Diceros bicornis minor: one gene and its partners. The protein of the gene in region 1 purifies or fractionates together with the protein of each later gene. This does not show direct contact. Links are inferred from orthologs where the notes say so. Each region holds a gene or a part of one and is shown in the gene's direction. Other genes may lie near its edges.

The links.
Region 2: the proteins of MED9 (region 1) and POLR2B purify together in Homo sapiens (affinity purification with mass spectrometry; 4 studies listed by BioGRID and IntAct, with this or other methods). This does not show direct contact. The link is inferred for Diceros bicornis minor from reciprocal best matches to the Homo sapiens genes MED9 and POLR2B.
Region 3: the proteins of MED9 (region 1) and MED18 purify together in Homo sapiens (affinity purification with mass spectrometry; 6 studies listed by BioGRID and IntAct, counting the BioPlex papers as one, with this or other methods). This does not show direct contact. The link is inferred for Diceros bicornis minor from reciprocal best matches to the Homo sapiens genes MED9 and MED18.
Region 4: the proteins of MED9 (region 1) and MED16 purify together in Homo sapiens (affinity purification with mass spectrometry; 5 studies listed by BioGRID and IntAct, with this or other methods). This does not show direct contact. The link is inferred for Diceros bicornis minor from reciprocal best matches to the Homo sapiens genes MED9 and MED16.

The regions. Positions count from the first base shown.
Region 1 is NC_080757.1:945,810-953,657, forward strand, and holds the start of MED9 (mediator of RNA polymerase II transcription subunit 9), read left to right. Parts: upstream 1-4,499; 5' UTR 4,500-4,553; coding exon 4,554-4,780; intron 4,781-7,848.
Region 2 is NC_080747.1:44,466,664-44,474,391, forward strand, and holds the start of POLR2B (DNA-directed RNA polymerase II subunit RPB2), read left to right. Parts: upstream 1-4,721; 5' UTR 4,722-4,969; coding exon 4,970-4,988; intron 4,989-7,728. Other genes in the region: NOA1 (nitric oxide-associated protein 1), read right to left, coding at 535-737, 1,976-2,140, 3,070-4,192. UniProt on the Homo sapiens protein: Catalytic core component of RNA polymerase II (Pol II), a DNA-dependent RNA polymerase which synthesizes mRNA precursors and many functional non-coding RNAs using the four ribonucleoside triphosphates as substrates.
Region 3 is NC_080752.1:43,722,991-43,730,891, forward strand, and holds the start of MED18 (mediator of RNA polymerase II transcription subunit 18), read left to right. Parts: upstream 1-4,766; 5' UTR 4,767-4,919; exon of another isoform or gene 4,920-4,932; intron 4,933-5,534; 5' UTR 5,535-5,604; coding exon 5,605-5,677; intron 5,678-7,901. UniProt on the Homo sapiens protein: Component of the Mediator complex, a coactivator involved in the regulated transcription of nearly all RNA polymerase II-dependent genes.
Region 4 is NW_026691553.1:469,632-477,643, reverse strand, and holds the start of MED16 (mediator of RNA polymerase II transcription subunit 16), read left to right. Parts: upstream 1-4,688; 5' UTR 4,689-4,786; intron 4,787-5,001; exon of another isoform or gene 5,002-5,020; intron 5,021-6,615; exon of another isoform or gene 6,616-6,662; 5' UTR 6,663-6,708; coding exon 6,709-6,841; intron 6,842-7,524; coding exon 7,525-7,632; intron 7,633-7,903; coding exon 7,904-8,012. Other genes in the region: R3HDM4 (R3H domain-containing protein 4), read left to right, coding at 198-301. UniProt on the Homo sapiens protein: Component of the Mediator complex, a coactivator involved in the regulated transcription of nearly all RNA polymerase II-dependent genes.

The DNA.
Region 1 (7,848 bases):
CATCTACTGCCAAGCCTCCTCCTTTTTTCCCCCAAAGCCCCAGTAGATAGCTGTATGCCATAGTTGTACATCCTTCTAGTTGCTGTATGTGGGACGTGGCCTCAGCATGGCCGGAGAAGCGGTGTGTCGGTGCGCGCCCGGGATCCCAACCCAGGCTGCCAGTAGCGGAGCACACACACTTAACCACTAAGCCACGGGGCCGGCCCAATAATTTTTAACTGCAATTTTGCAACTGGAGTTAGTAGTCAAGAGTCGAAAGACTTTCAATAAATCCAATAAAGAAAACAAGGCAACTTCTAGAGAAAGGGAGGACTGAAGAGTGAGAAAAAGCCAAAAGGCCATCATGAGAAAGAGGTTATTTTTTTAAAAAGGATTAACAGAAGGAGATAAGGATGAGGCTTTGGGGGAACAGCTGGTAGAAAGGAAAAAAAAACTTGGCTAACAAATAATTTGAGTGAAAATGACTGAGTAAAGAGATTGGAACAAATATGATATCACAACAAAAATGAACCATTTTAGTAAAAAACTAGTTCCTGGAATGGATTGCCTCTCATTTGTATCATATCAAAAGCGGGTGGAGGTCTGGCGAAACATAGTAAGCAGGAATAAGGACTAAAGGAGAGGACTTAAGGAGAAAATTCTGAGTCTGAAAGAAATGTGGTTGAATTTGTGTGCTGAAATACCCCATCAAGAGTGCTTCTGGAAATGAAACCACTGAAACAAGCGGGTTGAGAAATGGGCATAATGGAGTATCTTGGAGTAACGACAGAACAGTTGAAAGGAACAAAAAGAAATAAATTTAGTTGAGCTCAGAGAGAGAAGAAAAGCAATCTCAAGGCAGATCTGAAGCAAAGGCTTTGTTCTGAGGCGTAAGCATGCGTCTCGCTGGAGGGAGCTGACTCTTGGCACGTGCTGCGCTACGTTTGGCCTGAATAATGATTGCTCCCTATTTTTTTTTAACTCACAAAAATCAAAGTATCATGTAGCTTTTCCACCCTGCCCGAGGCTCCAGATGATCAAAGAAAAGGATGAATCATGTGTAAGGACATAGCTTTGACAAAGCCCCCGATGGTTCGATGACATGACCAGTTTAACAATCCCCGTGACACTTGTCTGACAGAGAGATGGCTATTTTTGCACCTATCTCCAAAATAGGAGCTATTTAAGCTCCTAAAGCTAAAGCTTAAATAGTGCTTACTCTCAAAGCTTTTTACAGACATGAATTCCTGGAACCCTTACAGCAGCCCTATCAGGAAAGGGCTGTTATGATTCCATTTTGCAGATGAGGAAACTGAGGCACAGGAAGGTTAAATGACTTGTCCAAGGTCACACAGCCAGAAACTAGCAGAACCTGGATTCTAATGTATCAAACTCCCACGTACCCACTTCTATATTTGGCAATTGTCCATATTTTTCCTTTTTGCTTTAAGTCCTCTCACAATATATAAAAGAAATATAACATTACACAGAGAGTTGCAGTGCTGGTTATATTCCCATCCCCTGTCCCAGGAATGTGTAGTAAACCTTTCAGTTCCTTTTAAAAACTTTTTTTATATATGTCTTATATCTATGGATGAGGTATAGTGTTATTTTTCATGCTTCAAATATTTACATAAGTAGTAACATACTCTATTTCTCTTGTGCAACTTGCTTTTTTCCTCTCACCATTTTGATTGTGAGTTTTGTCTACAGTGATATGTATTCATCTCTCAAACTGCACCATCCAGTTCTGTAGTCTCCAGCCACATGTGATGACTGAGCACTTGAAACGTGGCTATTCAAATTGAGATGTGCTGTAAATGTAAAGTACATACCAGATTTCAAAGACAGTATGAAAAACAGTAAAATACCTCTCTAATAATTTTTAATATTGATTACATGTTGAAATAATTTTGGGATATAATGGGTTAAGTAAAACATACTAAAATTAATTTCACTTGTTTTTTTTAATGTGGCTACTAGAAAATTGAAAATGACATATGTGGCTTGCATTTATGGATCATATTATATTTTATTGGAGAGCTCTGATTCTAGATCATTCCTGTTAACTGCCATCAGTCCGGGTTTTATTAATTGGTGAAGGAGCAAACCCTAAATCTGAATAACAAGAACTAATATTTACTGTGCACAGATACTTTTCTCCATGATTTGTATGCAATAATGCATTCGGTCCTCCTGGGAGGTTGCATGGCTATGCAAAGTGGGGTTGTGCAGTTGTCCAAAGTCACACAACTTCAAACAGACTGAGCTGGGACTCAAGTCAGGCAGGCAGGCTCCTTGGCCAGAACTTGTAACCACCAACTTGCCTGGAAAGGCTCTATGAGAAACAGCCTAACTCTGCCTAAGAAAGCAATAACCAGATAGCTTAACTTGGTGGCATCTCTAACAATATACCGTCCTTACATATCAGTGGACCCTTTTTGACTTTTAACAAAGCGGTTATGAACAGACACACATTTGTTGTGGCAATTTTAGCTTTAATGAAACCAACACAGGCCAGATATTATTTTTCTGACATCCGCTTGCAATGCTGTAGAGTCAGCTTTACGCTTTGCCACTAATTAGATTAACTATTTTTATGGCAAATTGTCAATGCACTCTACTTGTTCATGCTTCCTACGATTCCAATTTGTTTTTTTTAGCCATATCTATTTATACCTGGAGTGTTTTTTCTTTTTTTAAAAAGAGACGTCTTCATTATCCTGCTGATGATAAAGCTGGGGTTTGTAATTAAGTTACAAAACACACTGGGAGGGAAAAGAGGACGTGTCATTGCCATGGAGATATTATTGATGAATATCGGATTGCTTTTTGAATTCTGAATAAAAATCTAACTTTTACCATTTTGAATCATAAAGTTACAGAACTGGTTGGAACCTGAGGTCTCCTATGTGTTCGTTAGGACCAGAGGCTTGGTGTCAAGCAAGCCATGTGACCCAGAGCCAGTATCTTAACTGCTGTAAGCTTCAGTTTCCTCATCTATAAAAGAGAGATACTAACATCTACTTTTAGCCCTCTTTTGTAGATTAAATGAGATAAAGACTGTGACTCTATTCCTTGTCCCTATTTTTATTCCACCGTAGTTGTGGTAATCACTATTATTATTATTACTATTATACCATCATTTTTTTCCCCAGATGACTCCAAGGGTGTACTCTTTTCAAGCACATCTGTCCTATCCCAACAGGCCTTTCTCCTCCATTATCTAGCAGGACTCTTAAACATTTCCCTTAGGTGGAGAGGTCCATGGTGGGCAGGAAGAAAACCCTGCAGCCTTCTCCCTCCCCTTGCTCTCCTTCTGGAGTGCTCTGGGCAGCTCTTGCTGAAGAACGCTGCACTGAGGCCCATGACTAAAGGGCGTCTACAGCACACTCTCCAACATCTACTTCCCTCTATGGTCTTGCTCCCCTAGCACCTGCCTCCATAAACCCCTCCTGATGCATCCGAAAATACTAGCATTGATGCTTTCCTTGGGATAGGCCACGTTGCTCTTAAGTGCTACTGCTCATCTTGCTACCTGAATGTGTACTTCCTCGCCTCTGTTAAAGGCCCAGGATGGTAGACTAAGGAAGGATGGGGCTCTCCTAGCTCACATCTTCTTCCACTCATTAGCTAAGCTTAGGATCAGTGTCCCCACTGCTCAGAAATTTATTATACAGCCCCCATATCATACTTGTTTTGAGGAACATAACGACAAATCTACCAAAAGTAACCCGCTTTGGCCTAGGATCCTAGGGGGTCCTCATGTGAACTAGACCTTTGGAGGTCAGCCATGTATCTGAAGTTAGAAAGCAGATTAGGCTCTGCCATGACCCTGAACTAAAGATTATAGAGGCGAGGCGGCTGGGACCTAGGGGCTTAAGGAAGTCGCCCACAGGTATGGAGAGCAGCTCCAGGAGATGTATATTAAATACTGAATTACTAGTTCCTCCCTACCCAGCCCCGCGGAGCTTTGGGGGACGCCGTTTCTGGTGTCTGCGTCCTCAGGGCTGGCACGCGCTGTGGCACTACCGCCCGGCCAGGGTCTGCCGCCTCTCCCCCTGGAGGCTCCCGCGTGGTGCAGGCGCTGCAGGTCCTTCTCCGCATTCTCGACGCCCGCAGGGCCGGCGCCTTACACATAGCAGGCGCCCGGTGACGGCGGTCCACTCCGCGCGCGGTTCAAGTTGGTTCTTCGGGCGGCCTTCTCCCAGGGCTGGGCCGTGCTGGGCCTTATTCATCGCACGCTTCCTGTATTAGTTGCTTTTGGACCCTCGTCGTCACGTGAAAAGGAATAAGATGTTATTTCTGTAATAAATCTCCTGACTATTTAATAATTTAGCTCTCTCGACGCAACCAAACCCAGGACACCGCAGACTCGCCGACCTCCTGTTACCTAGTAACAGCCGCCCCGCCCCGTGCCTTTGCCCCGCGTACGCCCTGGTGCGCATGCTCACAGCCTTTCTCCGGTTCCCGTCCCCGCGGGCGCGCGGTAGTGACGTAGGGGCAGCGCGACGCTTTCGGCGGGCTCACCGCTCGGGTCTCGCTGGCTGTCTGAGTGACCGGTCCTGAGCGCCATGGCCTCCGCCGGGGTGGCCGCCGGGCGACAGGCTGAGGATGCGTTACCGCCGTCGGCCGAGCCGCCGCTGCCCGAGACGAAGTCGCTGCTGCCTCCGCAGGCACCGCCGCCGGTCGCCGCGCCTCAGCCGCAGCGGTCTCCGGCGCCGAGGCCTCAGTCCCCGGCGGGCGTGAAGGAGGAGGAGAACTTCTCCTTTCTGCCGTTGGTTCACAACATCATCAAATGGTAAGGGCTGGAGAGGACCAGCTCCACACGCCCTCCCGCTTCTCGTGCGGGCGCTCGCGGGTGCGCCCCCGTTTTATAGATGGGGAAACTGAGGCCGGGGGGCGAGGCCTCTCCCAGGACCGCACCGGCTCGGCCCGTGAGTCCGGCAAACGCTCTGAGCCCTGGCGTTGCCGGACCTCGCGACGGACGGCCTGGCGGTGTTCTCGGAGCCACAGCGCTGCCGTGCCGCCCGAGTGTGCGTCCTGCTGGTCACGAGCGGCTCGGGCGTCTGAGCCTCGGCTTCTCCGTGACGGGGGGGCGCCCGCTGGCTCCCCTTCTCGCAGAGCCGACGGTGCCTCGTGTGCCCCGCCCGACGCACTGCTGAGTGCTGGGGGCCTGCGGAGGAGGAGGGGCCGGCTGACCAGCCCTTCTCACGCGTCTCCTCGGCTGGAGGGAGAGGCAGACGCGAGCGGGAATGACCCGTAGTTCAGAAACGCCGGAGGGGGGAGGGTGGGAAACGTCGCAGACAGCGAGACACAGACGTCGCTCCACCAAATCGACCCCTGTAGTACTAACTGTGTTCTCACATAGTCTCAAAGGGGGGATTGTCATCCTTTTGACCAGCCTTCAGGTTAGTCTCAGTTTGCAAACTGACCCTGTGAAAGAAAAAAAAAAAAGAACACAGTGAAGAGTCTTGCTGATCCCCATGTTAGCCTGAATTGTTTTTACTGTTTTTTATATCCGCACGATACGAGGTGTAAACTCCTAGGCTCGTAACTCTTATTCAGCTGTTAAAAACCAAAACAAAGTAAATGAAAACGAAGATTACTGTTACGGCAACATTCAGGTGAACGTCACTGTGCTCTTGGGTGTTTTGCTAAGATGGAATTTCTGCTCACGACAGGGAAGTGGCGTTCATGGCCCAGCCTTTAAGTGTAGCCGGACTACTTCACTTGATGTGGGCTGACCCGATTCTTCCCCCACTTTTCAGACAACACAAAGCCTTTGTTCTGGCGTTAGACCCTGACTTCATGTGGCTTCACTCGGGGTGAGCATCCTGTTTATAGGGTCAGGCAGACTCCGGTCTGCTCTCATTAGCCTGTGCTCAGCAGGCAGCAGTTTGCAGCGGCAGTGAGATTGCAGACACAGTTGCGGACGCCGACCCTGCAGCCCCAGCGCAGTACTGGACTGGAAAGGGGCTGTCCAGATTAATGCAAATACTCTTACACCGGTTTTAAGAAAAATATGGAAGAATGAAAGCACAAAATGTACACATTCTCAAGGACGGTTCTTGGAGCCTGCAGAGTATGTTCTCGAGCCCCAGTAGAGCAGTTGAGCTGGGCTGGCCTTAAAGAAGGGGCAGCAAGGTACCCCTGAGAGAGCATGGCTTTGCAGTCAGTCTTGCATTCAAGGCTCATGCTGACGCTTGCTTGCCTTGTAGTCTGGGAGAACATGTAACCCTTCTAGGCCTTATTTTCTTATCTCTAATATGTGAATAATAATAACAGACCTCAAAACGATGGGTTCAGACTAGAGCCGTATAACGTACTGGCTGGGTGACCTTGGACAAACTACTTAGCTTCTCTGAGCCTCTTTTTCTCTTGTGAAATGGAACTAATAATACTTAAATGGTAAGGTTGTTGTGAGGTCTACTCAAGAGCATCCTCCTGTGAGAGATGGTGGGTTGATTTCATGTTTGTCTCAGTTTCCTCTAAAAGGACAGTGAAGAGGTTTTTTTTTTAAAGCATAGACCCAAAAAGAACAGGAGAGGAGATAATTGCCACAAAGCAGATGGCCAAGGGCTAACCCACCTATCAGCCCCTGGTTGGCAGAAGCACCTGCCTTTGACCGTGGCTTCCCCCCACGTCTCAGGAATTGGCGTTGCCAGGGACCTCTGGAAATAGGGGTGACGGGGGACTAAGAACAGGAGGATTACTTAAAAGTCTCCTTAAGCAGCAGATCCCCACAGTCCTCTCTCCTCACTTGAAGCAGACAGGTGACTGCTCTTCTTCCATCTTGGCAGGCAATTAAAGGGTTGCTCTTTCCCGAGATTTATTCTTTGGAAAGAATAAGCCAAAGATTATCTGGACTCGGGGGACACCAGGCACAGTGCAGGAGTTCAAGGGAGCCATGTTGGAAATAGGGAGTAAGAGAAAGTTCACACACTGGATATTGAGACCCCACTCTAGCCTTCTTCCCCTACCTGGCTTCTAGACTGGCAGCCAAAGAGAATAGATGTACCTTCTCTGGGGTGTCTGACCAGCCCAAGAGAAAAGTCATTGGGGGCTCCCCAAGAAAGACCACAGTCAGTTCATATGACCCGGTAGCCAGGGTCACTAAGCATGTGAAGAAAACCCCTAGTAAGAAAGACAGGACAAAACAAGAGCAGAAAAAGCCACTGGGAAGAAACAGTATGCATAGAGAGAAGGAGAGATGCTATCACCATGAAAAAAGGCTAGGATCCGATTTTAAAATATCATGTCTAGGTATGTGTTTGAGTTTATGGGCTAATGAGGGAAGGAGACAGACTGATGAGGGCAGTGATGAGAGAGGAGACCTCGTGAAACCTGGAGGAGTCAGAAGACTCCTTAAGGGGTGATGCCAACCACGAGTCTTAAATTATGAAAGGAGAGAGGGATGGTGGGGAGCCAAGAAATAGCATCAACTCATGGGGGTCGACTCTCAGTTTGGTGGGGTTGGAGCATAAATCCAAGGAAGGGAGAACTGGAAGGGTGGGAAGAACCAGCATAGGGAGGACAGCACATCCCTCTCAGGGAGTGAGGTTTTGTCCTCTGAGGGATGGGGAGCTAGGGAAACTTTCAAACTGGGGAGCCTTGGTCAGATTTGTGCTCGAGATGGATGTGGCATCTCAGCGGACAGGCTGGGAAGCCAGGTAGGACGCTGTCCTGGCAGGCCTGGCGAGAGGGAATGAGGGCTAGGACCGGCTCAGTAACCCAGGCCCTCCGTCTCCTCCTCTCCCGTAGCTTCCCCAGTGGCCCTTTTATTATTTGTTTACTGCTTGTGCAGGGGGTGAATAAGAAAGTAAAAGCTGAAGTGAGTTTAGTCTTCCTTGTTCTCATAAAGAATTC
Region 2 (7,728 bases), on another chromosome or scaffold:
ATTACACTTTAAAATGTTTCAAAGTCTGGCAAGGGATGTAGGCATTACATTTGTTCCATACAGCTCTGAGAAACAATGGGTACAAGTTACAGGGAGACTGCTCAACACAAAGAGCAGGTCAAAGACCAAATGGGTTACCTTAGGAGGTAAGGTGACTCTGCTCAGCTGATGGTGAGTCACTCCTTACTCAGTTCAAGCTGGATGCCTTCTTGATGGATACGTTATAGAGGGAATTCAAGTATGGAATAGGTGGCTGGACTACAGTGATATTTATGATTTCTTCCAACCTCAAAATCTAGGATTCTGTAAATGTCTCCCTAACTAAGATAACAACCACAATGATATAAATGGGTTGTTAGCAGTGAAGCCTACCAAATGGAACACAGAACTTGATGCCATATAGATTCATCCCTGAACTGCTTCTATGAATGAATGAGAACTGAGTCTAAAATGTGTTCCTTTCCTGTGTTCTGCCAATTAAGACAGTACTTGTGCAGTTGAAAGTAAGTGTTTCTTAAGATATCAAATACATACACAATTTTCTTTTGTAATTCCAGGGGTGTCATGAAACCAGTGGGCATCTTTCACATCTTCTGGGGTCAACTGTACTCGTTTGGTGGATTTATCTGCCACAACAGGTTCATTTCCCATGTCAAAGGCAAGTGAATCAGCATCAAACTCAAAGGGAGCTTCATCCTTCCGTTCTTCTGAATACAAGAATGTTCTTCCAACTCTTCCTAGAACAAGTTAGATTGAAGTTATTAGTCATTCTTTTAAAGCTTTTGATTCCAGACAGGTAATTCTTATGTTTGCCTCAAACAAATTACTAAGACTAACTGTAGTGTATGGAAGTGAGACTACAATGATACCTTTGCTTTTTTCCCCAAAGGCAGGGGGCCAGAATCTTGCAATGATCAAGTGAGTGGCTGGTTGTGTACACTGGGTGGGGGGAGAGGGTGTTGGAAATCAAACTGTTTTCAGTAAAGGAAGGTTGAAAAGAGATACCAAGGAATGGGTGACAATCTACAGTCATGTGCTGCATAATGTCATCTTGCTCAACGATGCCCCCTTTTTTTGTATTTTCTTGTGAGCCTAAGTATCACATATTTATCATTTCCTTTTCATTTTTCTTAAGCAAGTTCACAAACGTTTTTTATCCATTTTTTTAACTTCTCTAGTCTTTATCTTTTTTAATCAGATTTCAAATCCTTAAATCTTACTAGAATTTTGTACTTCTTGGCTTCCTTTTCTATCTTCTCTAGTCTATTTAGGAACTCTTCATCTCTAGAAGCCAGAGGACTCATAACTTTTTCTCATTTTTTGCTGAGTATTTGGGGGAAATAACGAAACTGAAGACCAGAATTTAGAAAGGGGTTCTTCCAGCTCTTTACCTGCTCCTGGAATGGGTGACAATCTACAGTCATGTGCTGCATAACGTCGGCATAATGTCTTCTTGCTCAACGATGCACCACATACATGACGGTGGTCTCACAAGATTAGCACTATATAGTGTAGGTGTGTAGTAGACTATATCATCTAGGTTTGTGTAAGTACACTCTGTGATGTTCGGACAATGACAAAATGGCCTGATGACACATTTCCCAGAACATCTCTCTGTGGTTAAGTGACGCATGACTGTAATTTAAAGCTGCTGCACGGAGTCAACGACCTGCACTGGTCTGCAGAGAGGGGGGCTGTATCTTTTTTCTTCTACTGCTGACAATGGCTGGGTGGGTGGTTATTGCATGTTTCCTTTCCTGGATTTCTTCAAGATCTACTGTCTCAATTTTCTCAGCACAATGAACTCTGGATTCCCAAACAGTAGTCTTGCCTCTAAAGGGCCTCTATGTTCCAGAATGAGGAAAGCAGTCACTCCCCACAAAAACTGGCTAGCCCCAGACAGCTATATTTCAGGTTGCTCAACAAAGAATTTTAGCAACAACTCAACAAGAGTTTTCCTATAGAACATGCTTACCTACTACATAGCCATGCTTTTTCAAGAGATTAAGTTGATTTTGTTCTTGCTGACTAAGATCTTCTTCAGCTTCAGCTGCATCTTTTTTAAGCCTTTTTTGCCTTTTAAACATTCTGTAAGGAGTTGGATTGCAAATAGGAAACTTCAGAAGGTTTAATGTAGTACCTGAAATACCAAAGAATAAATATGTTTTCTAAACACTGTACAAGAAAAAGGAATAAGAGGAGGAAAACTAACATCTTTGAGGAGCTACAATGTCTTGGGGACTGTGATTTATTTCACTTAACCTTCATAACACTCTACAAAATTATTCTTATTTACAGATGAGAAAATTGGCTCAGAGATTGGCTCAAAGTCTCAACCAGGATTTGAATCCTTAGATTAAATCCCAGGATTTAAATCTGCAGGCCTGATTTCTTTCCATTTTCACATCCTACCATCCAGTATAAAAGCACTTCTGTGTATAATTCAACCAAAGTCCAGGACAGAGAAGAACAGCTTATCAAAGTTAAACCCTGGTTTCAAAAGAACTAATGAGGCAGTTTTGCCAACTGTTAAATACAAAGAGGGTCACAGAAGAACCCATTTTGCAATCACAGAAGTTTCATAAAGCCACAAAGTTGACATTTCTTTCCAACAAAGCTACACATCACATTGCATTAGTGAATTATTCAAATGTTAAACGTGCATAGTATACTGATCTCATGAATCAACTCAAGACATGAAGAGTAAGATTGAGGGGTGAGGGAGGTTTAGAAAGTAAAAGGACTTTCCAGAGAAACATACAAAGAAGTAAAGCTACAAGAGAAACCTCCAAGAGAGCAGGAACTTTGTTCCTCTGTTCATCTACAGTGCCTAGAACAGTGACTGGAACATACAAGTGCTCCATAAATACTTCTTTTAGAAAATTACTGAATTTCCAAGCACTAAGCTGACACAGAAGAGAGGTGTGACCAAAGTAGGAAGACAGTTTTTAAAGGGAAGGCTCCAGACAGCCTCTGGTGGACAATAAGGAAGGCTATACTAGGTGCCTGGGCCACGACCAGACTTCTAGCTTCTCAGACAACGAAGGGGGTGGGTCTCCTAAGGCTCACCAGGCCAAGGGGAGATGGTGGCTCTGTCGATAGCCTCAGCGCCCTTGGCGATGCAGTAATCGGACTCCAGGAGCGTGTTGAAGAGAGTAGACTTGCCAGCGTTGGTGGCGCCAACCAGGTAGACGTCACCACGGTAGCGCCAGGAGCGCTGAAGCGCGGAGATCAACTCTTCAATTCCATAGCCAGTCTTGGCGCTGATGAGCCGCACATCCCTGAGCACCGTGCGGCACCTGGCCGAAGGGTTCGAATTCTCCTCGTCTTGTGGCCCTCGGTGGCCAGGGAGCGGCAGGAGCCCTGCGCGGGCACAGTCGTCCCACAGCCGCTGCCGGAGCCGCTGCCGGTAGCCGGGAGCGTCCTGGGGCAGCAGGTCTACCTTGTTCCCCAGAACGATCAGCTGCTTGGGGCCCACCAGCGCAGGCAGGTCGGGCAGCAGGGCGTCGGGCAGATCGAGCACGTCCACCATGTAGAGCACCAGCGCGGGCCCGGGCCGCCGCAGCGCGGCGCTCACCAGCGCCAGGTACTGCTCGCAGCTCACCTGCAGGCGCAGGGCGCGCCGGTGGTGCACCAGCAGCCAGCAGCGCTGGCACACGGTCCGCGCCAGCCCGCCGTCGGCCTGCGCCGCCGCGCTCAGGAACTTCTCGCTGGGCAGGTAGCCGGGCACGCCGGGGTCCTGGCAGTGCAGCTCCGCCCCGCAGCCCGAGCAGTTCAGGCCGCTGGGCGGCACCGTCGGGTCCGGGTGCCCCACGACCGGGTGCCCCCGGCGGCTGGCCCGTAGTTTCTGCTGCCGCCGCTCCTCCCGCCGCTGCTGCTTCTGTCGCTCTTCCTCCTCCTGCCGCTCCTGCAGCTCCTGCAGCTGCTTTTCGGGGGTCGGTGCGGGCTCCGGCTCCGGGACGTACTCGGGGAACAGAAAACGCTCCTCCATGTCAGCCCTTCCTTCGTAACCCCCAGTCCCTGTCGGGTCACGAGGAAGCCCACGTCCCAGGCCCGATGGGTGCCGGCAGGAGAAGGGAGCCGCGCATCTCCTCTCGAGGAGCGGCTCCGGGAGGCCATGGCGCGCTACCTTCGGTGCGGATCCCCGCAGGAAGCCGCACAGAAGCCTACCAGTGAGGCGTGCGGGCAGCATGGGGAACACGGCCCAGAGCAAAGGGGCGGAGCCACGTGCGCGCACGCGCACTGGGGCCAGAGGCGCGCGTTAAGACCTACAGGCAAGGCCGCGGCTACCGGAGAGCTGTCATTTGTCAGCCGCCGCACTTCGTCTCCTCCTCCAGCGCCTAATCCCGTGAGTTATCGCGATGAAGGCTCTGAGGCTTCAGAACCCACTTAAAGCTGCGGCAAAGGTACCGACGGCCTAGACTTAGCTGAGGGGGCAAAAAAGGCTAGTGAGTGAGGGTTTGTTCCCTTTTAGGCTTCTTCAACGCGCCGCCGCTGGCGCAACCTGCCCTTAATAAATCGCATTTTTAAAGGCTTCGTGGTTTTTGAAGCCTTTAGAAATGCAAAAAATAGAGCATCGAATGCCGCAAACTCAAGGCTACAATTAAAATTAATAAATCTTCTTGGCCTTTTTTTTAGGTGTCATTTGTGCAACAACATTAAAAAAAACTTTCATTGGCTGGATCGCACCCTCACTCTGTAGGAGTCATCGTCGCAATCAGCCGCAAGAGGCGCCGCCCACAATTTGCGCGTGCGCAATTGTAACCCTTAGCGGCCCTTAGCCTACCATTTGCGCAGGCGCAGATGTTACCTAGCTTCTCTGTGGGCGGTCTTTGGCCTCGGACGCGGAGTATTCTGGGAACGCCGGAGACGGAAGTCACTTCGTTTAGGGCTCCGAGACGGAGTGGTAGCTACGTGCTTTTCTCTCTGTGATTTTTAAGAGTTAGCAGCTCGGGAACCGTTTGCCAACATGTATGACGCGGACGAGGGTAGGTGACCACTCAGAACGCTCCGCGGCGACCCTTCTGTGGAGGGAAATGTGGGGAGCTGGACGAATTGAGGATTTGCGGCCTCCCCCCCCAGCCCGCCGCACGAGTGACCCCAAGTCGTGTTCCCCACATCCCCCAGGCCGGGAGTGAAGCCGCGATGGGGAGAGGTGGAGGGTGCAGGGAATGTAGCATTACTGTTCCCGGTCAGGGTGACGCTTGCTCTCTGCACTGTCAGCTGGATAGATCTGATACCGCCTTCACGTATTGAGATAACGTGCAGAACCATAAAACAGTACCATTGTTTTGGCTTTGTCTGAAGCAAAGGGCTCCCTTCTTGATTTCTTATGAGGCTAGGGTTAGTGGATTTATTGAATATTTGAATTTTTGAGCGTCAGTTTGTGCCAGGCATTGTGCTGGGCTCTGGAAATATACCGGGGACAAAGAATATCGTGTGTGTCGAGAGAGTGTTGGTCTAGTTTGGCATTCCTTCATGCCGTCGTATGTCTAAGTGAATTGTCTTAGAAGATGACCTTTAGATTTTCTCAGATGGTATGTATTCAACTGAAGAGGACCAATATATCTGTTTTTCCTTTCAGGTATAGAAGTCTTAGTCATGTCTAGTGTATTTTCGTTAGGTATTTTTAAACCTCCCTCTTCCATTCTCTACAGCTACTGTATCAAACCTCATTTTCTTCTAGTTCCCAATCCTGTGGCCACCCCTCACATTGCTGCTTATTCCCTTAGCTTCTTCATGGAGAATACAGAAGCAAAAGCTTAAGATCTACAGTTTAAACTTCTCTTTTTCATTTATATCTTGAGTCTAGAAATTTATTAGCATCATTACATTCCCTTTTCTTAACTTCTATCTCAGAAAAAAATTCAAAATTTTTTTAGCAGAGTTTTTTGTGTAGATAGTATATATTCTCATGGCTCACAAGCTGGAAAGTATAAAAATGTTAAAGTGTAAGGTTTCATTCTTGTCCACTGTCTGTCTAGTGTGAGCCCCCTTCACTGTAGGTAACCACTGTTCTTAGATTCTTATCTCTCCAGAGTGCTTTATGTATATTCAAAGAAATATAAATGGAATTCTATTTTCCCCCTTTTTACAGACAAAAAGTAACATTCACACTTTTCTGCACTTTTACTTTTTGCTTTTTTAATATATGTATCTAGGAGATTTTAATATCAGTTCATAGAGCACATCCTAGTTTTTTTTCTTCACAGCCTGCCTAGTTTGTATGGATGTACTATGACGTAGTAATGTCTTACTGATGGATATTTGGGTTATTTCTAGTCTTTTTCTGGTTCAAACAGTGCTGTAATGAATAACCTTGTGCATGTCATTTTGTCCAGTACAAGTATGTCTTTAGGATAAATATGTAGAATTCTACATGTAGCTGTAGAATTGTCAGGTCACATGATATACATGTTTAACATTTTGCTGGATGGTGCCAAGTGACCACCATAGTGATTGTACTAATTTATATTTTCCTTAGCAATATAATAGTCTTGTGGAAAAAGAGTTAAAGTTATCCCATTTGTCAAGTCTGCTCCAGCATTGAGTACATTCCGTTCCTGCCTGTATCCTTTGATATCTTTATTAAATATGTCCTCATCAGTTTTCAGACGTTCCTTTTCACCTGACTTCTTTCTATGCAAAATGTTAGATCTCTCTTGTCCTCAAGAAAACAGGTTAAACTCTCTATTGTTTCCTTTTTCTTCCATTGTTTTGCCTTTCTCCTTTCATTCACAACCAAGCTTTTAAAAAAGAATAGGCTGTCTTCGTTGTTTCCAATTCCTATCTTTCAGGTTCTCAACCTATTACAATCTGATTCTGCTCATGTGATATAAAACAGCTCTTAAGAATATTAGTGATTTCTCAATTGATAAATCACATGGACATTTTTTAAACCTTATACAAACCCTGTGGTATTCAACATTGTTGATGACTTCCTCCTGGAAACTCTCCTTCCTTCTGCCACGTCACTCTCACTTAATTCTTTTTACCTGTCTGACTTTCCTTCTCATTCTCTTCTACTGTTCATGTTATCCCTGGGATAATTTCATCCATTCTTCATGGCTTCAGTTACCATCTGTATGTGGATGACTTCTGAATATATATTGCCAGTTCAGATGTCTTGCGTATCTAACTGCCACTAGATAACTTCGCTTGAATCTCTCCTAGGCCTCTCAAACTTGTCGCTGCCCAAACTGAGCTCACTATTTTCCTTTACCCATCACCCTTCCAAAGCTGCTTCCTCCTGTGTTCTCCCTCTCAGTGAATGGTATCACCCTCTTCCATTGTTGAAGCCAGAAGCCTGGGCATCATTCTTGAATCCTCTCTTTCGCCCCTACGTCTAATGAGTCACCAAGCCCTGAGGCTTCTGTCTCCTAAATATGTCAAATCTGGTCACTTCTCTGCCACAATTCTAGTTCAGGCCACCACCATCTCTTGCCTAGATTACTTCCTCAGACTTGTAACTGGTTTGTGTACTTCCACTTTTCTTGCCTCTCCAGTCCACTCTCCACACTGGCCATAGTGATCTTTCGGAAATGAAAATCTGATCTAGCCACACCCTTGCGAAAATCTTAGAATGGTTACTCAAAGCTCTGTTGGTAAAGACCAAACTCTTTTACCACTCTAACTTTACACTCCTTGTCTCAGCTACATTGGCCTTCTTTCGTTCCCTGAATATCTTTCATGGTGGAGTCTTTCGCACAAGTTGTTTTTTCTGTTGAA
Region 3 (7,901 bases), on another chromosome or scaffold:
GAAGCGACCAGAAGAAAGCAAAGGAGTGAATCCTGCAGTTCAATGGAAAAGGAGAGGTCCAGGTAGACTGTACAACAGTTACAAAAGACTTAAGATAGGAGCATCCTTGACATGTTCAAGAGCAATGAGAACAGCGTGGCTGGAGCTGAGTAGATGGGATGGGGACAGGCACAGATGGGGATCACTGGGATATGGTCAGAGAAGTAACAGGTGATGAGGGCAGATCATGTAGGCATAAAGAGAACTTTGGCTTTTACTCTTGAGTGGAGGAATGTCATGAACTGATGAGGATGCTGGAGATAACTAGGTTGAAAAGCCATGGTTATACCTTTTCCATAGTGCTATGCACATAGGAAGCAGCCAATATATGTCAGCTCATTCCTGGGGAAATAGTAGTTTGTAACACTAAGGTTGAGAGCCTAGCATTGCATATAACAGGGGGGAAGATCTATCTTAATTCCCATCAGGTCATTCTAGAAAGCTGAGGAAGGAACTGTGTATGAGTATGTGTGCTTCGCTATCCATGTCTATGGTCTGCTGTCCTGATGAAAACGGGCCAAGAACTGGTCTTACTCCTTTGAGCCTAGTCTAGTGATTGGCTGGGAAGCATTAACGTGTGAAATTTTCTCCTCCTTTGCTACTATTAATTGTAATAACTGGCGAAACTCACCATGGAGAAAGAGTCCACGAATTCAGAAGGAAGCACGGTGAAGAGACAGGCGTGGTGTCAGAAGGCACTGAATTTGAATCTGAGTTCTGCCATTTGCTGGGCGCTTGGCTTTGGGCAAGTCACTTTACCTCTCTGAACCTCTTTTTCCTCCTCTGTAAAGTGGAGCTGGTAACAGCTACCTTTTAGCAGTATTTGGCATATTTACACACAGGTAGTTAAAGTTGTTGGTGTGTAGCAACTGTTCAATAATTGGTAGCTATTGTGATGTGTTCAACAAAATTTCTGAACACCTACTACATGTAAAGCACATTGTTACGGACCAAATGTCGGTGTACCCCCCCAAAATTCATATGTTGAAACCCTACTCCCCAATGTGATAATATTAGGAGGTGCGGCCTTTGGGAGGTGATTAGAATTAGATGAGGTCCTGAGGGAAGTGCCCTCATGAATGGATTAGCGCTTTTTTTTTCTTTTTGGTGAGGAAGATTAGCCCTGAGCTAACCTCTGTTGCCCATCCTCCTCTTTTTGCTGAGAAAGGTTGGCCCAGAGCTAACACCTGTGCCCATTTTCCTCCATTTTATATGTGGGAGGCCTGCCACAGCATGGCTTGGTAGTGCTACAGCAGTGCATAGGTCCACGCCCGGGATCCAAACCCTAGGTCAAACCCTAGGCCACTGAAGCAGAGCATGCAAACTTAACCACTATGCCACGGGGCTGGCCCCAGATTAGTGCTCTTATAAGAGTTCTGAGAGAGTTTGCTTTGCTCTGTTCTTCACCACGTGAGGATACAAGAAGTTGGCAATCTGCAACTTAGAAGAGGGATCTCACCAGAACCCGACCATACCAGCACCCTAATTGCAGACTTCTACCCTCCACAACTGTGAAAAATAAATTTCTGTTGTTTATAAGCCACCCAGTTTATGCATTTTGTTATAGCAGCTCGAGCTGACTAAGACACATATATATAAGGGCTGGCCTGGTGGCATAGTGGTTAAGCTCACACACTTCACTTCAGCAGCCCAGGGTTAGCAGGTTCAGATCCTGGGCATGCACCGATGCACTGCTTGTCAAGCCATGCTGTGGTGGCATCCCATATAAAGTAGAGGAAGAGGGACACAGATGTTAGCCCAGGGCCCATCTTCCTCACCCAAAAAAGAGGAGGATTGGCACTGGATGTTAGCTCAGGGCTAATCTTCCTCACACACACATACAATAAAAAAAAAAAAAATAGAAAAAAGACACATATATACAAAGAAAATACATGATTCCTCCCTACAAGATGTTTACAATCTATCCAAGGAGATGAAACATGCACAAAATATATTCAATAAGACAGAATGTGCTTGCTCAAATGAGTGATTTAAAATATAATAATAGCTACCATTTATTGATTGCTTACAATAAGCAAGGGACTATGCTAAGTGTTTCATAAGCATCTCATTTTATTTTTGCAATCTCTGTTTTAGAAAGTACTATTTTTACCTCTATTTTACAAAAAAGGAAGCTGAGGCTCAGAGAGGGGAAGTGAATTGCCCAAGGTTGCACAGCTGGGTAGCGCAGAGGACAAAAGTGACCCCATTCTAAGCTCTAGGCCTCACATTCTTATCAGAGAAACCCATCCATATAACTCCTAGGCCTTGTCCAAGTTTTACCATATTGTTCATTCGTTTCCTGTCCATCTTTTTTTTCTTTTTTTAATTTAACCCTACTTCAAAATGCCAGCTAAAATTTGGGTAAATACTATGGTGCCTCAAAGGACCCATAATTCACTGGACTTACCATGCTGAAGTTAGTGTCTGTACAGGAAAAGAGAAGCCCAGCAATTTGCCAACCTCCTCCAATCATTACAGCACCGAGAGCTTGTCACTCTGCTCAAAACTGTGAATCATCAGGTTGATCAGGAGGCACATCCCAAGCCCTGGGGTATATGCAGCTCTAATAACTGTTGGAGTCCTGTGCAAAGCCCAATTCTTGGCCGTCTTCTCTTCCTATTCTACACGCTCTTTCAGGGTGATCTTATTTATTCTCATGCCTTCAGCCACCATCTATGAGGCTCTGATTCTGAAATCTCTCCCCCCAGCCTAGCTCTCCCTCCCCTGAACTCTGGCGGGGCACTGCCACTTTCGTGTTTCATAAACACCTAATGCTCAATATATCTAGTACACATGAACTCATCTTTCCTGCCTCACCCACACTGCTTTATATTTCCTAGCTCAGAAAAACACAGTACCATGTCCACCTAAGGTAAAAATCTAGACATTTGTGATTCCCTCTCTCTGTCTTTACCTCTGGTTAGTCATCAAATCATTCTCTTTTATATTTTTCAAATCTGTCTTTTCTCCCGAAATGATCTCCCAGCTGGAGTTATGCCAAAGCTCCTAACTGGTCTTCTTTCTCCAGGACCTCCTTCTCCAAGCTTTTCTCCACATTGTAGCCAGAGCTTTTTTTAAAGCACACATCTGTTCTTTAGTCTGGCATGCAAAGTTCTCCAGGATCTGGGTCTTATCCTTTCTCCAGACTCATTTCTTACCCCTCCTAACCTCAGATTCTATATCCTAATTCTACTAAACTCAATGTCCTTTTGTACATGTTGTTTCCGTTACCTGGAATTTCCTTTCCTCCCTTCTTTATCTGGCTAACACCTACTGATCCTTCAAGTTACTTTGGGCATTAATTACTTTTTCCAGGATTCCTTCTCTGTCGCCCTCAGGATGGATCAAGTGTCCTGTTTGCTTCCAGAGCAGTTGAGCTGTTTATATCTCATTATCCTATTGAATCAAATCACATGGTGCCATCTCCTTAGTTTACTGATTCCTACAACTTGCCTATAAACTCTTCTGAGGGCAGAAATTGAATCAAGTCAACAGCTAACAGAATGTCTACAGCACAAACACTTTCAAGAAATGTTCGATTAAAAAAAAAAAGAATGACTGGGGGGGCTGGCCATTGGCATAGCGGCTACGTGCACACGCTCCACTTGGGCGGTCCAAGGGTTCACAAGTTCAGATCCCCCGCACACACATATGCACCACTTGTCAAGCCATGCTGTGGCAGTGTCCCATATAAAGTACAGGAAGATGGGCACAGATGTTAGCCCAGGGCCAATCTTCCTCTGCAACAAGAGGAGGACTGGCATCAGATGTTAGCTCAGGGCTGATCTGCCTCATCAAAAAAAAAAAAAAAAAGAATGATTGGGAGGTAGTGTAGGTTACAGCAGGGGAACTAGAGGTACAAGAGGCAGTATAGTAACTGAGGGTGGGCTCTGAAGTCAGCAGCTTAGATTGCCAGCCTCTCCACTCGCATGTTATTTAACAGCCCATTTCCTCAATTTCCCTGTCTGTAAAATTACAGTAATAATTGTATTTGGCTCATAGGCCTGCTGTGGGAATCAAATTTAAAAAGTTAATATTTTGTTCATTAAGGATTTTTTGCACTAAATTTGTAAAATATTGCATTAAAATATTATCTTGGTTACTGAGTTTTTTCGTGTCGCCATAAATTTTTCGCTTCAGCAGAGTGCCTCATTCACCTTACTCCAGTCCCCATTTAGCACCTTATATGCTTGACACATAAACAGAATTTTACAAATATTTGTTGAATTTACTTCTCTTCCTACATTTTTTAATTGAAGTAAAATATACACAGTAAAGTGAACAAATATTAAGTGTATTACCGAGCTCCCTAGATGTTCAGAACATTATGCTAGGCAGTCAAGGGTCTTTCCTTTTCAACTTCAGGGACCCAACAAAAAGAAGTCTTTTATAACAGTCTCGCCTTCTCTTTTTCCTGCAGCTCCCTTCCCCAGGCTCTCTTTTCCCCTGGTCAGTTCCAAGACTTTTCCTAGGCAAAACCATCTCCAGGTCGTCGAGCTTGAAAAAAATAAAATGTTTTCCTGGAGTACGGCCTATGACGTCAAGCCCCAGCCCAGTAACTCCCAGAGGAACGCTCCAAAGTAAGCCGCCATCTTCCACACAGCTGCGTCGCTTCTTGCGCATGCGCTTCTGCTTGCCAGGTACCAAAGAGGGCGATTTTATGCCCTCTCGGCACCCTTACGTTGCGGGGCGGGTGTGTAGACGTTTGCGCCACGTCTGGTTCTTGGCGGAAGTGGGAAGAGGAGAAAGCCGAGTGGTTTTATTATCCAAGGGTCTTGAGCCTTAGGACTGGGTGCTAATTGTCGCTGAATAGCTCCGAGGTGCTCGGGTGGATATAATTCTCCGCTTTGCGAGAAGAGACTAGAGCGCGCGCGTAGGTGTGTTTCTGATGTAAGTGGGCACGTGTCCTCAATCCTGGCTTAGGAAGACTTAAAACATCATCTTAAAAGAACAACTCGCTTCCGCCTCGCTCGCTTTAAAAGGCGTTTTCAGAAAGGCGGAACGCCTAGATTTTAGTGTGGTCCAAGCTCTGCCACCGACTTGCTATGTGTCCTTGGGCCCCTCTCCGAGTCTCAATATCCTCATCTATAAATTGAAGGGTAGACAAGGTCCCTTAAGTCACCTTTCAGTTCTTCTGAATGTAATTGTATGTCCATTATGTCATCTGAGGCACAAAGCCTTGGGGGTTAAATATCCTTGACCCCATCTTATCGGGAAGACATTGAGTGAGAGATTTGATGACTTCCTCAAGATTGCACTTTTTTCAAAAAAACCTAGAAGTTTCACACTTTGAGACTAGAAGGTTATGCTGTAACTCCATGACCAGTTCTCCTTTGTATATTTCTGTATCATCAGTTCCCGAAACTGGCCATATAGCAGTTACATAGAAAGTTTTGAATGGACAAATAAGTCTTTTGATGTCGGGGCTAATGACATGAGCAGATCTGATGTCTCTCCACTGTGATATATTAACAAGTGTAACTCTTCTTCAGGTGTATCCTGTGCTTTATTTGACTTGGGACTCTGAATTCATTTTTGTCGTCTTCAACTTAATCAGACACCATGGAGGCACCTCCAGTCACTATGATGCCTGTCACTGGGGGCACCATTAACATGATGGAGTACCTGTTGCAGGGTAAGTGAATCAGGGGGCTTGGATTACCTGTTTTCCTCTTTTCTATTCAGCTTCCGTGGAGCTGAGAGGCTGCTATACAAAGGCAGCCTGCGTGGTTTCTGGCACCCATTAGACAACAAATTACCCATTAAACACTAATTCTCCCAACCCCTTCCCCCAGCCCTTGGGCAACCACCTTTCTACTTTCTGTTTCTGATTTTCAATATTTTAGATACTTCATATGAGTGGAATCATGCAGTATTTATCTTTTTATGACTGGCTTATATCACTTAGCTTAATGTCCTTGAGGTTCATCCATATTGTAGCATGTAACAGGATCCTCTTTTTAAAGGCTGAATAATATTCTGTTGTATGTATATAGCACATTTTCTTTATCCATTCCTCTGTCAGTGGACATCAGGGTGGTTTCCATCTCTTGGTTATTGGGAATAGTGCTACAGTGAACATGGTGTGCAAATATCTCTTCAAGATCCTGCTTTGAATTCTTTTGGATGTATACCCAGAAGTGAGTTTCCTGGATTATATGGTAATTCTATGATACTATTATTAGCTCCAAGTTATAGATCAGGAAACAGAGGTAAAGTAACTTGCCCCATTGAGGAAACGCAAAACCCAGAGAGGGTAATGATTTTCAAAAGGTTATATAATGTTTAGTGGAAGAGTTTAGACTTTAATTCACATTATTCATTCAGTAACTTAATACGAACAAAATAAGGTTATTAATTTCCACCCCTCAAGCTGCCCCTCCTCATCTTTGCCATCTCACTATGAAATGAAATGAAATGAAAGTGCCTCTGTCATTCACCAGTCGCTTGAGCCGAGCATTCAGGAGTCAATCTCCATTTTTTACTTTACTCCCTCATCCAGTCCATCTCTAAGTACCATTCATTTTACTTCCAAAATATATTTTAAATATCTTTTCTCCACCTGTTGTACCACAGGCTGGCCCCTAGTCATCTTTTTTAAAAATTGTTTTATTACTAAAAAATTTAAACATAAAATCAAGACTAGTATACTGAACACTCCATATCCATCATCTGGATTTACCAGTTTCTATCATTTTGCCATATTTGCTTCATCTTTTTTCTTATGCTGTTTTTAAAGAAAATTTTAGACCTCATTAACATTTTATCCCTAAACACTTCAGTATACATCTCTAAAAAGAAGGATATTTTGGGGCCGGCCTGGTGGCGCAGCTGTTAAGTGTGCGCACTTCACTTCAGCAGCCTGGGGTTCGCAGGTTCGGTCCCACGCATGCACCGACGCACCGCTCGTCAAGCTGTGCTGTGGCGGTGTCCCATATAAAGTAGAGGAAGATGGGCACGGATGTTAGCCCAGGGCCAATCTTCCTCAGCAAAAGAAAAAGGGGAGGATTGGCATCGGATGTTAGCTCAGGGCTGATCTTCCTCACAGAAAAAAAAAAAAAACAAGGATATTTTCCTTCATAACCCCAATACTGTCATTATTATCTAAAAAAAATTAATAATATATTTTTACTATCTAGTCCATATTCAGAAGTTTCTTCCCAATTGTCCCAAAAATATGTTTTGTAACCAGGATCCAATCAAGTTTCATACATTACATTTGTTAGTTGTCTCTCTTTTTTTTTCTTTTCCTGAAGTCTCTTTTAAATTGGACCAGTCTCCCCTCGCCTCTTTTTTTCCTCCCCCATAACCGTATCTTGTTGAAGAGTCCCTACCAATTTTCCTGGAATGATCTTTTTAAAATGTAAATGCAGTCATGTCTTTCCCTGTTGTGTGGAGAATGAAGTGTGGAGCTAGTAGCTGCCCAATGACCTTAGAATAAAATATAACCTTTACCATAGACTATATAAGGCCTGCATGCTTTGGCCCATGCCAAATCCTCATTTCATTACCATCTTCTATCTTGCTCACTACCTTTCAGCGACATTGATATCCTTTCATTTCCTTGAGTTCCTTAAGCCTTTTCCTGCCTCCGTGCCTTTGCACTTGATGATCTGTCTCCCTCAATACTTTTTTCCAGCCCTTCAAATAACTATCTCATTTTCATCCTTCAGGTCTCAGCTTAGTTGTCATTCCCTTCAAGAGACCTTCTCTGACTACTCCAACCCCTCAAAGAGGTCTCCTCTTCTCCACCCCCCACCAATTGCTCTCTAATCAGTCTCCCTTTTATTTTCTTATATTCTGTTTACTTATTTATTGTTGTTTCCTCCACTAAACTATAATCTCAATGAGGACAGGGC
Region 4 (8,012 bases), on another chromosome or scaffold:
CGGGTCCTCGCTCCCCACGCCTGTCTCTCCGCCTCCTGCCCGGAGTTGCTAAGGAGACGGTTTCCATGGCAACCTCTGGATGCCTCCTGCGGCCCCCACGCCCGCCTTTGTTCCCACAGACTCGGGCGGAGGGGCCGGGCCGGGGGTGCTTCTCTGCAAAGGTGGGGACTCACTCGCCCCGCTGGCGCCTCGCGCAGGTGCTGACCTGGAGGGCAGGCGGCAGATGAAGGTCAGCAATCGGCACCTGGACTTCCTGCCGCCCGGGCTGCTCCTCTCCGCCTACCTGGAGCAGCGCAGCTGATGGCGGCCCGCCGGGCCCCGCCCACCGCCTCCCCGGCACCGGACCTTCCGTGCCACCCGCCAGAATATCTTCATTATTTTTAGAATTCGTCTTTGGAAACGTCATCTTCCCCTTGGGGTGGCTCTCTCTCACCCCAGCCCCCTCCCTGCCCAGCCCTTCCAGATAAATTCTGGTGGCTGGGGCTGCTCTGGCCTTTCCAGGCCCCATAGCTCCTCGCTCTGGGACTTGTATTTGGGCGGGGAGACCGGGCCTGGTCACTTCCATGTTCCTTCTTCGTTCAGCTTTCTCCGTCCAGTCTGAGGCTTAAGCGAGGAGGGAGAGGCTGGCTTTTTATCACTTTTAATGAATTTGGTGTGATTTGTTGTAGATTTTTAAATTTCCCTTTTGGGAAGAAAAACCAAACTCGCCCCAACTGATAAATCGGGGGGCTTTGTTCCAGTCCCTGCTTGACACCCCCCTCCCAGTTTTTGGCTTGGATGGGGGGGGTCTCTGGGGCCTCGTCCCCCGCCCTGGGAGTGTTACGTCTTGTGTGTGCGTGCGCGTGCCCCACGACCCAGGACGGAAGCTGCGTTTTAAAGGCTGGTTTTACTCTCTTTTTGGAATGTGTGTTGTCCCCCGCTGGTGTCTTTTGGTGGCTCTTGGGGCCCTGTCTGCTGTATACCCTGCCCTTCCCCATTTTTCTCCCGTCTTTTCCTACTGGGAGTCCGGGACTTCCAGCCAGAAGCCTCCGCCCTTGGACTACCCGGTTCCCTTTCCATGTTCCCCAGCCTGTTGCTTTGGGGTGTCCTCCGGCGGGCCACCTGGCCTGGCCCGGCCCCCGAGAGCAGGGCTGCCCCCCCCCCGCCCCCGGTGTGTGGCTAGCTGTGCTTTGGGAAGAGTGGAGAGTCAATAAATTTCTGGTGCTCTTGTCTCAGCTGTGGGGTTCCCTTTGGTGCGGGGCTGGGGGCGCAGGAGGCTCGGGATCGCTGGGGTCCTGGTCATTGAGGCTGTAGGCTCGGGGATGGGGCTTGGCACTGAGTGACGCCCCAGGGGTGAGGCGGGTGTCCGGGGAGACTGCCGGGAGCATCGGGGGCTCGCTCTGCCCCGCTGGCTCGTCCCCCTCCCGGGAGCCCAGGTTCAGACCCAGCTCCGCCACTTCCCGGCTGTGTGACCTCCAAAAAGTCACTCGTGTGAGCTTCCTGGGGACAGAGTACCCCACACTGAGGCTTAAAACCACAGGAATACACTGTCTCCAGTTCTGGAGCCCAGACATCTGAGGTCACGGTGTCGCAGGGCCGTGCTCCCTCCGGAGGCTCCCTCCCGCCTCTCCCAGCCTCTGAGGCTCAGGCGTCCTGGGCTTGTGGCCGCGTCCCTCCATCTCTGCCTCCGTCGTCACGTGGACTCTCCCTGCGTGTGTCTGGGACTGGCCGGTGTCCTGCAGGACGTCCCCAGCCTGGGTTTTCTCATGATCGGACAAAGGGACGTGCCCTGTCATCGCGCCACATCGGGGTCCCTGCTGTCCTCGCGGCTTCTCCCTGCTGACGGGGACCCTGACCTCCTGGTGGAGGGGCGCTACTCGGGCCCTGCACTGGGGGGTCCCTGCCCCTCCACACTGTCCTCGGGAAGCGGTCTTCATGAGGGCAGAGCCTCTGCCTGATTTACTGGGAATTCCACAGGGGAGGACTGTCTCTTCTCCACGTGTGTTTATTCAACCACATACACGACGAGGCTCGAGGGGGTATTTACTTTCTGGTCTGGGTTATAATCCAACATCACTTTATTTCGTTGCTCAGACTGTTGCGGGTTTGGCGGCCGAGAGCTCCTTCAGCAGCTCCTTGTCTCTCGGAGGCCCCCATCCCGGTGGGGTTTTTAGTTTGTGAGTCCGGCCTGACTTTCTGGGCTTCAGGGTGCGCGGCTCCTCCCACCCGGGCCCGGATTCGAAGCCAGCGTGGGGCGCTGGGGGCGCTGTCTTCCGTGTGAACGGACATTTACAAAGTTTTAAAGATAGATGCTGGAGGAGGGAAACCCAAATGGCTGGGAGGAGGACAAAAGGAGATACTGGGTCACCAGCTGGGAGGCCCCGTCTGTGAAGGGCACGAATTCCCAGTTCCCAGGGGACAGGGCTGGGCCGCAGGGCGGGCATGCGGGGCCTCTGGGGGCGCCCACTGGCTGCCCTTCCAGTCTCGCGGTTGCCACTGTGGGGCGGTGGGCTTCCTTCCACCCATTTTCCCCAGCTCCGTTCCCAAGAACCAGGCCTTTGCCCAGGCAGTGCCTTCTGCCCAGTGTGCCCTTCCCTGCAATCCCAGGAGGGCTTCCTGGAGAAGACCTTCCAATTGGGGAGAGTCGGGCAGGAATAGAAGCAGCTTTTGGAGGAGGAACTGGGGATGGGGTTTGAATCCAGAAGGGCCCTCGACTGGGCAAGTCACCATGTTTATCAGAGCCTCAGTTTCCCCAGCTATGAAAAACAGAAATGTAAAGCATGGGACAAGAGACCCCGAAGAGCCAAAGGAATCCTGAGAAAAAAGAACTTATGTGCACATGTTAATCTTTGACAAAGGAGCCAAGAACATACGATGGAGAAAGGAAAGTCTCTTCAACAAATGGTGTTGGGAAAACTGGACAGCCACATGCAAAAGAATGAAAATAGATCATCATCTTACACCATACACAAATTAACTCAATATAGATTAAAGAGTTGAATGTAAGACATGAAAACAAAACTCCTAGAAGAAAATATAGGCAGTACACTCTCTGACATTGGTCTTAGCAGCATCATTTCGAATTCCATGTCTCCTCAGGCAAGGGAAACAAAAGAAAAAATAAACAAATGGGACTTCATCTGACCAAAGAGCTCCTGCAAAGCAAAGGAAACAATGAACAAAACGAAAAGATGATCTAACAATTGGGAAAAGATATTTGCAAACCATATATCCCACAAGGGGTTAATCTCTGTAATATATAAAGAACTCACACAACTCAACAACAAAAACACAAACAACCCAATTTAAAAATGGGCAGAGGATATGAACAGACATTTTTCATAGAGATGACTAACAGACACATGAAAAGATGTTCAACATCATTAACTATCAGGGAAATGCAAATAAAAACTACACTGAGATACCACCTCACGCCTGTCAGAATGGCTATAATTAACAAGACAGGAAACAACAAGTGTTGGAGAGGATGTGGAGAGAAGGGAACCCTCACGAACTGCTGGTGAGAGTGCAAACTGGTGCAGCCACTATGGAAAACAGTATGGAGATGCCTCAAAAAGTTAAGAATAGAGATACCATACGATCCAGCTATTCCACTGCTGGGTATTTATCCAAAGAACATGAAAAAACAAATACATAAAGATACATGCACCCCTATGTTCATCACAGCGTTATTCACAATAGACAAGACTTGGAAGCAACCTAAGTGCCCATCAAGGGAAGAATAGATAAAGAAGATGTGGTATATACACACCATGGAATATCACTCAGTGATAAAAAAGATGAAGTCATGCCATTTGCAACAACGTGGATGGACCTTGAGGGTATTATGTTAAGCGAAATAAGCCAGACAGAGAAAGACAAACACCGCCTGGTTTCACTCATATGTGGAAGATAAACAAACACATAAATTTGGAGGAGATTGGTGGTTACCAGAGAGGCAGGGTGTGGGAGGAGGGTAACACGGGTAAAGGGGCACAGGTGCACAGTGACGGATGATAACTAGTCTTTGGGTGGTGAACACTGTGTCTTCTACACAGAAATCGAAATATAACGATGTATACCTGAAATTTATACAATGTTGTAAACCAATGTGACCTCAATAGAAGGAAAAAAAAAAAAGAAATGTAAAGCAAATGCGAATGGGACCAGCTTTTGGAGGAGTCCGGGATGGGGTTTGCAGCCAGAAGGGCCCTCGATTGGGTAAGTCACTTGGCTTATCAAGCCTCAGTTTCCCCACCCGTAGATATCAGAAAAAGTTTCTCTACCTGCGGATACCAGAAAAACAAGGCGCAAAATATGGAACGCTTCACGAATTTGCGTGTCATCCTTGCGCAGGGGCCATGCTAATCTTCTCTGTATCGTTCCAATTTTAGTATATGTGCTGCCGAAGCGAGCACGAACCTCAGTTTACCCAGAGAGATATTTATAGTGCAAACTATCAATAACTTTACACTAAGGGTGAATTTCATTGAGCAAGTTCAGTAACTCACTTATTTTTTAGGTATCAGCGCAACACATAGCGTAGCCAAATGGGGTCACGCACCGGAGTTGAGAAAGTGTTCTTTGTTCTACCAAATACAATTCAGGTGGCTGCTGGGAATTATTAATAAGCATATGCAAATAACCCGGAAGCCGGCAGAGCAGGAGCCGCCGCCGTCCCAGAAGCCTCCGGGAAGCGGCCGCGCTGCGCGGACGTCTTGTTGGTCGCGGGGAGGATGGCGGCGCCGGAGCCGGCGCGTTAGGGCGAGTGCGGGCCGTCTGCTCGGCTGGGCGCTCGGCTGGCCCGGTGAGCGCGGGGCTGCGGAGCCCGGGGGTCAGACGGCTTCCGGACGGCGCCCGCGGCCCCGGAGAGCACGGCCCGGAGAAGGCGGGGCTTCGCGGGTCCGGGGCGGGGCCTGTGGGGTCAGAGGGCGGGTCTGGAGAGCAAAGGGTGCTGGGTACGCGGGCTGGCGCGCGCTGGGCGGGCTCGGGGGTTGTGGCCGAGACTTGAGGGGAAGCATGAGTCCAAGTGGGGGTCGCGGTGAGTTCGGGGAGCTGGGGTTATGAAGGGGGGGCCTAGGCTATTTGGGGGCGGGGCCTAGAGGTTGTAACTCCGGGGGGCGGGGCCTAGCAGTTGTAACTCCTGGGGGCGGGGCCTAGCGGTTGTAACTCCTGGGGGCGGGGCCTGGGCGACTTGGGGCGGGGACTAGAGGGTGTAGCTCCTGAGGGGCGGAAGCTAGAGGCTCTAACTCCCGGGGGCGGGGTCTGGGCTATTTGGGGGCGGGGCCTAGCGGGTGTAACCCCCGGGGGGCGGGGCCTAGCGGTTGTAACTCCTGGGGGCGGAGCCTAGAGGTTATAACTCCTGGGGGCGGGGCCTGGAGGTTGTAGCTCCTGAGGGGCGGAGTCTATAGGTTGTAACTCCCCAGGGGCGGGGCCTGGAGGTTGTAGCTCCCGAGGGCGGAGCCTATAGGTTGTAACTCCGGGGGGCGGGGCCTGGAGGTTGTAGCTCCCTGGGGCCGGAGCCTAGAGGTTGTAACTCCTGGGGGCAGAACCTGGAGGTTGTAGCTCCCGAGAGATTGTGTCTCTTGGGAGTGGGGCCTGGAGAGTGTATCTCCTGAGGGGCGGTGCCTGGGTCGCGTTGGGGGTGGGCATGGGCGTTTGGGGGCGGGGCTTGGGGATCATGTAGGGTTCCTGGGGTGGGATCTGAGGTCTCCAGGGGGCAAGTAGAGTCAGGACCTGGAGAACTTGGTGGGGCAGTCTGGAAAGCAAAAAGTGTTGGGCGGGGCTGGAGGGCTTGGGGGTGGGACCTGGGGGTTGTTTGGGGTCCCTGGGTTGGAGCCCGAGAGTTTAGGCCGGGCTTGGGGGCTCCGGGGGGCAAATTGGGAAAGCAAAGAATGTAGGGGATGGGGATTGAGGGCTTGTGGGCAGGACATTGGTGTTCTGGGGCGAGGCTGGAAGAATAGGGTGCCCTAGGGGTGGTGGTTGAAAGAAATGGGGTAGGTGGTTGTTCCATCTCATTGGGTTTCTGTTGTGGTGAAAGGAAACAACCTATAATTGGGCTGGGCATGTGGAGAGCCACCCGGCCACCCCCAGTAAGCTGCCCACTCCCCACCTGTCTCTCCATCTCAGCCAGAGACAGCACCACCGTGCTCTTGCATGTTTCTGGTAGAGACGGGGGGTCCCACCTCTCCCTGCAGTATCCACTGGCCCCGTCGTTGCCCGCCTGGACTAGTGCAGTCCCCACTGCATCCCCTAGCTGCGCACTCCAGACAGCCAGAAGGGTCTGTTGCAACATAGATGGGTCACGGCCTTCCCAAGGCTCCCACCTCACTCGGGGCACTGCACGGCCTGCCCCATCCCCTCACTCACTCTGCTCCAGCCACTCCGGCCAGCCAGCCACTCTCTGAACACACAGGGCTCCATCCAGCCTCTGGGCCTTTGCACTGGCTGTTCCCACCACCTGGAATGCTCTTTCCTCAGACATCTGCCTGCCTCGCTCCCTCATACCCACGCTCAGTATACTCTCCCTGGTGAGGCCTCCCTGTCACGGCCCCCATACATACACACACACAGACACTCACTAGACACACTCCCTGTGGTCACCTGGCGTCCTGTCCCACACTCGGTGCCCTGCAGGTTCTCCGTGAACGTGGATGACGAGCCAGCCCTCCTCCTTCCCCCAGGAGCTGGTGACTGTTCTCGCCGTGGGAGCCGTGGCAGGCGGGCACCATGGATCTGGCTTACGTCTGCGAGTGGGAAAAATGGCCCAAGAGCACCCACTGCCCGTCGGTGCCCCTGGCCTGTGCCTGGTCCTGCCGAAACCTCATCGCCTTCACCACGGATCTCCGGAATGACGACCAGGGTACGCCCCCGGCCCCCCGACACAGTGTCGTAGCCTGGCCCCCACAGTGCTGCTGTGGGGTCCTCAGGGTCCCCAGGCCTGCCAGGGAGCACCCTCACCGTCCAGGCCCTCCGCTCCTGGGGATGTGACGGCCCCAGCCCCGCAGGGTGCACAGGGCAGCTGTGGTGCGCTCCCACGCCCGGTGCCCGGGGATGCTGGGATCACCCTTCGGGATGGAGTGGGGTGAGGGGCGGGATCCCCAGTCTTCTGGACCAAACATGTCATCGTTCGTCTTTAATGTAGCGTCTAACGTGCATGGCAGTTGCTGTCTTCTCTCCGTCGTCAGAGAAAACCAGAAAAGCACAGAAATTCAGGATAAAGAGAAACAACCAGCCGTTACCTTCCACGGAGAGACGCTCACTGTTAACATTTTGGGGTCATTTTCTTGCAATTCTCTTTTCTGTGTCTCTCTTAAAAACGTGGTCATAGCCGCACTGGTGGCATGGTCACAGGCCCGCTCCGGTCTCCAGGTGGGACATGAGCCTGGTCCTCCATTGCCCCGGGGCATTGGCATGGTTGGCGGCGGCTCTGTGACTTCCTTGCGGGTGGGCCGTCCACTGGCTTCCTCCTTGAGCCGCCTGGTGGTCGGGCGCTTGGGGGCTGTGTCGTTGCTGCTGTGCTGATGGTGCCCTGTTCCCCCACAGACCTGACCCGCATGATCCACATCCTGGACACGGAGCACCCCTGGGACGTGCACTCCGTCAGCTCGGAGCACAGTGAGGCCATCACCTGCCTCGAGTGGGACCAGTCAGGTGAGGGTGGGCCTGGGGTCTGCGCGGCCCGGGGAGACGCCCGTGTGCCCCTCGACCCCGGCTCCCGGAGCAGCATGCTCTGTCTTTCCCCAGGCATGTCCCCAGTGCCCAGAGCTGGGACTCGAACCCTCGACCTGTGGCAAAGCCACTGCTCCTCCCATTCCCCGTGTCCAGAATCATTTCCGGAACATGCCTTGTGCCACTCCCCTGCTCTGTGTCCACCAGGCTGGCTTCTCTGCTGGGGGTTCGTGACTCAGCTTTGCCCCCACAGGCTCCCGGCTCCTGTCCGCTGATGCCGATGGGCAGATCAAGTGCTGGAGCATGGCGGACCACCTCGCCAACAGCTGGGAGAGCCACGTGGGCAGCCTGGTGGAGGGGGA